2 linked regions of the Macaca fascicularis genome follow. The protein of the gene in region 1 interacts with the protein of each later gene in a biochemical or structural test. Links are inferred from orthologs where the notes say so. Each region holds a gene or a part of one and is shown on either strand. Other genes may lie near its edges. The genes, in order: PIAS2 and SUMO3.

Region 1 (3,808 bases):
TTTGGAGACGGCAGGGGTTGTGTTTATAGAATAAAGGAGACTTCAGAGACATAACTAAGTGTGGTGTGGGGCTCTAGTTTTTAATTCTGATTCAAGCCGTAAAAGGACTATACTAAACTACATATGGAGAAAATAGAAAATATATCTGAGATTTGCTTTAAAATAATCTGGAGTGGGGGTTGGGTAGAGTAGGTAAAGATTGTTCATGGGTAAGTAAATTACTGAACTGATAGATATATATGTGTTATACTTTTTTCTCTATTTTTGTATATGTTTAAAATTTTCAATAATAAAAGGATGAAAGGAAAATAAATTTTGAGGCACCTGGGAAATCTGAATCGAAAGACAAGGTATTAGGTGATTTTTTAAAACTGGTTATTTTTGTGGGGTTGTAATACTGTAGGTTTTTAAAGTCTTATTAGAGATCCATGTTGAATATCTGGGTTAAATGGCATGTCTAGAATTTGAGTTTAAATACTCAAGGGCAAAAAGAAATGTGTATTTTTGTGGCGTGTGTGTTTTAGGGCAGATTGGCTTTGGGGCCAAAAGCATTTGGAACAAGATTGGCAATGTGGATAATTATTGAACCTGGTTGGTGGGTCCCTGCTGTTTGTACCTTTCTTGTGTATGTTTGAAAATTTCCATAAAGTTAAAAAGTAAATCTGTGTTAGAAGTATTCAAGTAGTAGTGATAATTAGAAAATTTGGAGGAAAACGTTAAAGTAGAATAATTGTGGACAACTTTTGTCACAGTTGCAAGTAGGGTAGGGTGTCATCAGAGCATGAAACATAAAAAATTATTTGAGTGTGTCACAGGACCACCACAAAGTCTTCCGCTGGTGCCGTCCAGCAGCCTTTGCTTAGAAAGCTTGCAGATTTGCCCCACTGGTTCCCTGTCACATGAACTTGACTTTATTTTTGCTTTAAATATGGAAAACTGTTAGAAATATGTGTGAAGGCTAAACTTTATATTTTATAAAATTCCAACTATTAATATATTCTCAATAACCAGGAAATTGATGGTTGGGTAGGGGTGGTGCTGATGGTTAGAGGTAGAATACAGGTTATCAGATAACTCAGAATTACCAGTAAAGTCACACTACTCAAATGGGATATAGAATAGATTGAAAACGCTTTACACTGAGTGAGACTAACATGATTCTGAGTTTGCTGACACTTCATTCTTACATGAGTGTCACTCTCTCTGCTTCTGTTGCCCTTTTCTACTGTGTCAGGCTGTGTTATGTCTTAAATTCTAATTTCCAGAGTGCACATTTTAGTTCATGAGTTATTTTTATCCTCCTGACAGACCCTGTATCATTTTTATTTGGTTAACCTACTGGTGGACATACCAGCAGACAGAATTATCTTCCAGGCCCAAAACAGGCAAAACAAAAGTTTCGTTCAGAATTACCTAGATACTGGTGTTGATATTCCTTGTACTTGTTGCTCATTGAATCAACTTCTTGAGTCTTTTTAAGAGGACTTTTCTTAGGAGTTTTTTTTTTTTTTCTTTTTCTGAGCAACTTTTTTTTTTTTTTCGCTTGAGCAACTTAAGATGGGCATAACCTTCATACACACACACACTCTCTCGCACACACACACACTCACACACACTGTCTCTCTCTCTTTCATTTCTGTATTCTAGTGCAAGTTATTTAAGTTCTTCTCTTTGTCTTTTACTCCCCTGCTCAAACGTTTTTAATTACTTTCAAAATTTTTTGCAAGTTATAGATTACACATTATCATGTGGACTACCATTTAGTAATTACTGTCCTGCCCCTTATGAGACAGTTCCCAAGTTGTGGTAGACAGGGTGTGGTCCTCTTTGCCATGTGATACTACCAGTACTAGTTTTCATTGGTCCTAAGGTGCATATTTTAGCATTGCTGAAATCCAGAAGTGTCTTAAAATTGCTGGTGACCAGGTGTCAGCTGTGATGTATTATCATTGTCTGCACTTGTACAACTTTGGTGTTATTGCCATGGCGTGACTAGTTAGCTGTACTCCTGGCTTTTCAGTTAACAAATAATTTAAGGACATTTTGAGAAAGAAGCATGAATGCTGGCTGTTGTCTGAAAACTTTTCACTGATGGATTCTCATAAGATCCAGATTGTATCCCCATTAACACATCCAGTTAATGGTGTCAGTGACTTGCAGAGAAATCTGAGACATTAGTGGAATGAAATACAGTTTTAAAAGATACTTTTTTCTCTGAAATTCCTGCTTGTGCATAGGGGAGTGTTATGTGGAAAAATGTATGGATTAATGATGGAGTGAAAAGTGATTCAGAAGATTCTTATGTCCAAAAGGGAATATGTTAATTCATTTTGCTTCCATTTCTTTGCCATATATACATAGTATTTTCTTTCTCAATAGTACATAATTAAATTACATCAATGACATCCTAGCGTCAGTGAAATATGGTATCTACTTTTCAATATGTAGATTTTTTGCAGCTAAGATATTTTAATTTTCTAAAAAATACATTATTTTGGCTCTGAAAAATCAGAGTGAAGTCTTGTGGTAATTGGGAATTGGATACACTGCGAATCAGAAATGAGTATACTTGCTATTTAAAACAAATGGTTGATGACTAGATAAAAGTAGATTAAAGCATAAATAGCAGTATTATCTGATAGCCATCAAGCTCATTTAATGACAGTTGAAATGCTCATTATCCTTATTTGTTAACTTGACCTGGGTTAAAAGATTACCATTTCTGTTCCACCCAGAGAAAATGCAGTGGAAAATATTTTTATCACTCACCAAATTTTAAAAATGAAATTCGTTAGTTTGTTCTTTCTTTCCCCTCAATTCCCAGTTTGCTTTCTTTCTTTCCCACCCCGAATATATGCATGTATTTGAAATGGGGATTGCTAAGGATGAATCATTATAAAAAGTTGTGACTTTATCTGTAAAGCTTGGTGTCCTATGAAAAAGGAAAACGATTCATAGCCAATGTGGCAAGATGTCAGCATCTTTAATTTTAATGATGGGACATGGATTTTTTTCCTACCTTTCTGGACTTGTGAAATATTTTGTAACTTTTTTTCAAAGGTTGTTTTCCTGTTTTGGGTTGATAATGATAATAAGGACTATATGATTTTTAGGCTAAAATAAAAATAGTGTAACTGAAATTGGGCAGGATCCTGTATCTATCTTGGAGAAAATGTTTAATCTTCCTGCAGATAATTTGAAATAATTTTTCTTTCTTATGGTTATAGGGCTACGCACCACCGCCTAAAAATGGGATTGAACAGAAGCGCCCTGGACGCCCCTTGAATATTACATCTTTAGTTAGGTTATCTTCAGCTGTGCCAAACCAAATATCCATTTCTTGGGCATCAGAAATTGGGAAGGTAAAAGCTCTCCATTTTGGGTAGCAGGACAGTGACCCCACTGGGGGTTGACTTACTGTGTTTTTTCTTAAGCTGTTGGCTTCAGCTCTTTTTGTTTGTGGATTGTAATCTCTAAAAAGCAGTAATTTTCAGTTCAGAGGCGGCAGTATGGAGATTCTTAAAGTTAAAAACTTTAGCTCTGAGTTTTCTTGAATATCGTCTCTTTATTTTCCTGGAAAGAAAATATGCATATTTATATTTCTTAAGGTAATGGTTTAACCGCAATTGTATGTAATGTTGTGTTGAGTATTTTAATAAACTAGAAGCTTTGGATGATAAATATTTGTGAAGAGAACAAGGAAAGTTTTATCAGTTTGGGGGAGAAATGGTTAAATGTACACATGTTGTGATTAGAAATAATCTGTTCTAACCTTTATATAAACAACTGATATTTCAGATAATCTGTG
Region 2 (4,505 bases), on another chromosome or scaffold:
GCCAGCAATCTGAGGGCTCTGAGGCCCCGCGTTCCGGGGAAGGGGCTGGTTGCGGAGCCCCCTCCCAGGACAGTCTGAGCTGGCCACCCACCTCCACATCTTCTGCTGAGGCCCTGGGCTCCAGGTTCCGGAAGGAAGGGACCACACCATATGACCTGCCTGGAAGCCAGGCTGACTCTCTGACCCTCTCCCTGAGAGACTTCAGCAGCCTTCCCGCTCCTAAGTGGGGGCTCTAGCCAAGAAAGTGAATTTTTGAGTCGAAGACGATTTGTGAAGTTATGGTCCATGAAGACTTGTCTCCATGGCTTTGCGACGTTGCTCAGTTGGCTGGGCCTTACCCAGGCAGGAGAGAAACGGCTCAGACCCTTAGGTTCAAATCCAAGCCCTGCCATTTCCCAGCTGAGCCTGTTAGGTGCGGCCTCCCCCACCTTCTGCCGGGCTCAACTTCAGGTGAGACCCCCGCCACGCCCCGGCTGGCACCACCCTGGCACTCCTGACGGATGCAGGGGTGTCCGCCCTCATGTCTGTTCCATCCGAGGCCCTGGGATCACAGACAGGGAGGCCGAGGCTGGCCGGGCATCCCAGGAATGGCGCCCGCAAGTCCCAGGAGGCCGTCCGGCCGGCCCAGCGCTCCGGCGCGTTTCCCGCGTCCACGCGGTCCCCGTTCCGCCGGCACTGGCTGCGTCCAGCCTGGGTTTGCCCGCGCTCGGCGACGGGGCTGCCTGGCCCAGCTCGACGCCCCTCACCAGCGCTGACCTGGGGGTGGTGTCACCTCCCAGTGCCTCAGTTTCTTCACAGGAAAAACGGGTCTTCTTGAGGACGGGTGTGGAGGGCCCGGGGCAGCCCCGTAGGAGCGTTGGCCGAAGGAGCCCGGCCTGCGGCTGACAGGAACCCTCGGCTGCAGGGAAGCGCGTGGCGCCCCCAACCGTCTAGGTGCTGGCCGGATTCGCGCGGCCTCCGCTGACGGGACCCCGCGGGCCGCCTCCTCCGCTCTGTCCGCGGCTCCCGAGAGGGAACATCACCCCCAGAGGCTTCCCTCCTCCGCCCCAGGTCCCCGCGCCCCCGGCCTCACTTCCTGGCGCCCCAGGAACGCGGCCCCCAAGAAAGGACTCGGGGCCCGGGCCCGGGCGGGGAGGCGGGCAGGGGTCCCCAGGGCCCGGAGTCCCCGTACGCGCTCCTGGCCCGCCCACCACAGCGCCCCAGGGCGTCCGCACCCGCCAGGGTCGCGCGGGACCCGCCCCGTGACGCATCTCCAACAGCCCGGAGCCGCGGCCCGGCCAGCGCGCGCCCGACGCCCCGGGGAGCGCGCCTCGTGCACGCGCGCCGCCACGTGACCCCGTGCCGGCCAACGGGTGCGCCGGGATTTGGGGGATAAAGCGCGGCCCCGCGCACAGTTGCGGCGGGAGAGCGGCGGGGCCGAGAGCGTGACTCGCCTGCTCCGCGCTGCTTCCCCCGCGCCGCCTGCCCGCGCCGCCCGCGCAGCCATGTCCGAGGAGAAGCCCAAGGTAAGCGCGGCGCCCCCGCCCGCACACGCGGCCATCGCGGGCGTCCCGGGCGCCTCCGCCGCCGCGCGCCACTGTCGCGGCCATAGAAGACCGCAGCTTCCACGGGGACCCGCGCCCAGGCCTGCAGCGCCGCCCGCGCTCCCGCCCCTCCCCCGCTCCCGTCCGGCCGCGCCGCTCCCCTCCCCCGCCCGGCGGCGCTCGGCGGCGCGCCCCGCCTCCAGCCCGGCTCCGCCCCCAGTCCGACTCCACCCCCCAGTCTGACTCCGCCCCATCCCGACTCCGCCCCCAGCCCGACTCCGCCCCGTGCCCCTGCTCCGCCTCTCCTTGCCCCCTATAGCGCCCCGCCCCCCCGCCCCCTGTAGCGCCCTGCCCCTAAGTGGGTCCGCCCAAGACGGGCCCCTCCCCGAAGCGCGCTGTGCCGCGAGCTCCGTCCCCGCCGGGCCTGGCCACGCCCCAGCTCCACGCCCATCTCCTCCCTAGCTGGGAAGGCGCGCGCCTAGCGCCTCCCAGACCGCCGGGTGTCGGGCCCTGCGCTGCTCCTGCCGAGCGCAGCGCCCTCGGATCCCGCCCCGGCAGTGTCCCCGAGGCGTCTTTGCGTGATCCTCTCCTGAGTCATTGCTGGGCGGGGTCGCCTTCTCCCCCGGCATCGCCCTGGGTGCGGGGTCCTGTGTCAAGTGCACGGAGTCGGCTCAGGAATAAGCGTCTGGGGTTACCCCCGAGGGGCGCGCTCTGAGGGGCCTAGCCCCTGTGAGCAGCGCTGCCGTCCTTCCAGGGCGCCCATCGCGCCCCCGGTATTCACCCACTTCTCCACACCGCGTCCTGGCCGTCGCGTCCCCCAGTGTGCGCCCACCCCTCTCCTTCCTGTCTCCCCGGTCGTGACCCCAGTGTGCACCCACTGCCTCTCCATCGCGTCCCCCGGTGTGCGCCTACCCCTCCCCATCGCATATCCCGGTGTGCGCCTACCCCTCCCCATCGCGTCCCCGGGTATGCGCCTACCCCTCCCCATCGCGTACCCCGGTGTGCGCCCACCCCCCCCATCACGCCGCCCATGGTGTGTGCCCACTCATCCCCATCATGCCCCAAGGTGTGCGCCCTCGCCTCCCCATCAGTCTCCCGGTGTGCATCCACCCCTTCCCATCATGCCCCCCGGTGTGCGCCCACTCCTCCCCATCGCGTCCTTGGTGTGCGCCCACCCCTCCGTATTGCGTCGCCCTCCCCATCACACCCCCCGTGTGTGCCCACCCCTCCCCGTCGCGTCCCCCGGTGTGCGCCCACCCCTCTCCATCACACCTCCTATGGTGTGTGCCCACCTCTCCCCATCACGCCCCTTATGGTGTGTGCCCACCTCTCCCCATTGCGCCTCCCCTGCCATGCGCACCCACCCCTCCTTATCCAGCCTTGGGTGTGCTTTAGTTTCCCCCATTGCCACACTGGGGTGTGCATCCTTCCAGTCTCAGTCCTGGGGTATGCACCCTTCATTCAGGTGCACTGGCCACTCCTCCTTGGGAGGGTCCTTAGTCGCGGTCTCCAGTGTTCATAAAAAGAGAACCTTTCGGAAGCCCTTGGTGTGCACTCTTGGCCTCTATGTTACATCCTAGTGGAAGATGACTAGAGCTGAAGGCTCTGTAAGGATGCTGTCTCTGATACTGGCCTGGTCCTGGAGGTGACCACCCTCCCTTTACAGATGAGGGTGGAGGCTCAGTGCCAGACACTGGTGGAAACTGGGATGGAACCGTCCGGAACCATGGTTGCGGCCTCTGGAAGTCTGCACTCTGCTTGCTGTGGTCAGACTCCAAGGAAACCTCCCCTATCCAGATGGCATTTGGAGTGACCTTCGCTTTTTACATTTTGACTCCAGTGAAGTCAAAGTTCTCCCACTCAGGGGTTGTTTGAATATTTAAATACTTGTTAAAACTAGGCCAAATATAAATGTCCTTTCTTTATGTTTTCGTAGGTGGCTTCCTCTTAATGAAGAGTACATGTAATAAAATATGTATGATACTCATTTTCTCAGCAGTGTTTACACTTAGCTCTGCCATGTGGTCAACCTCAGGCTCCAATTCCGTTGAAAACACTTGTTGAATTCCAGAATGATTGAGTGGCTGCCACCTCACAGGCCCTGCTCCTGGTGGGTCCCCTCTGAGCCCATGTGGGAGCAGCTCTACCCTGTGGGGCTCTGAGGAAGGGGAAGAAGTGGACTCTGGGGCCCAGTGGTGCTGGAAAGAAGAGCTTTTGGGTCAGGCAGGAGAATGTTCTGACTTCCCTGGATAGCTGAGGCGGAGGATTGACTAGCAAACTGAGGCCCATGTTTTTAGGGCTTCATTTTTTAACTCACGAGTTCACTTGCTTATTAGGAATTTACCAGGGGTCTGGGACAGACCGACATTGCTGGTGTCTGTCTGTCTGGAGCAGAGGCACTGTGGCCGGCCCTGCCCTGCCCCAGCCTCTCCTGGGGCTGCAGCCATTACCCTGTGGGGACACGTGTGGGCCCTGCATCTGTGCCTTTGAACACACTCATATCTTCCTTCCCTAAAGAAGCCAGTGCATCCTCATGCTTGGGGAAGTGAAGGGGGCTCATGCAGGGGTCCTCACTTCCATCCCGCCTGGAACTGTTTGCATGCTCTTCCTTCCTAGGCCAGTTTTCCCTGCGCTGGAGGCCACATTTGGGATGGGGGGATGGGGGTGTGCCAGCTCACCACTCAGGCTGCTGCCAAGCCACCGGCGTCCCGGGAGTGGGCAAGGGTGTCTGACCCAAGACTGGAGTTGGGGAGTGAGTGCTGGCCCAGGACACGCACCTTCAGGTTCGCAGCTGGAGCCCCTCACTGCCAGGGCCCCTTGCCGGCCACTCTAGTTCCCTTGACAGAGCACCATACCTCCCCAGGGTCTCCAGGAACCAAGCATGGGGGCAGTCCCCGGGTTCACCCTCAGGCGAGCCTTCTACATCCCACTCCCTGTATTTAGGCATCGCTGGGACAGTTGTCCCTCTCCCAGCCAGGGAAG

The links.
Region 2: the proteins of PIAS2 (region 1) and SUMO3 form a complex in vitro, tested with the Homo sapiens proteins (2 studies listed by BioGRID, with this or other methods). The link is inferred for Macaca fascicularis from reciprocal best matches to the Homo sapiens genes PIAS2 and SUMO3.

What each region holds. Positions count from the first base shown.
Region 1 is NC_088392.1:42,938,283-42,942,090, forward strand, and holds part of PIAS2 (E3 SUMO-protein ligase PIAS2), read left to right. Parts: intron 1-3,227; coding exon 3,228-3,362; intron 3,363-3,808. UniProt on the Homo sapiens protein: Functions as an E3-type small ubiquitin-like modifier (SUMO) ligase, stabilizing the interaction between UBE2I and the substrate, and as a SUMO-tethering factor.
Region 2 is NC_088377.1:2,241,241-2,245,745, forward strand, and holds the start of SUMO3 (small ubiquitin-related modifier 3), read left to right. Parts: upstream 1-1,401; 5' UTR 1,402-1,484; coding exon 1,485-1,505; intron 1,506-4,505. UniProt on the Homo sapiens protein: Ubiquitin-like protein which can be covalently attached to target lysines either as a monomer or as a lysine-linked polymer. Does not seem to be involved in protein degradation and may function as an antagonist of ubiquitin in the degradation process.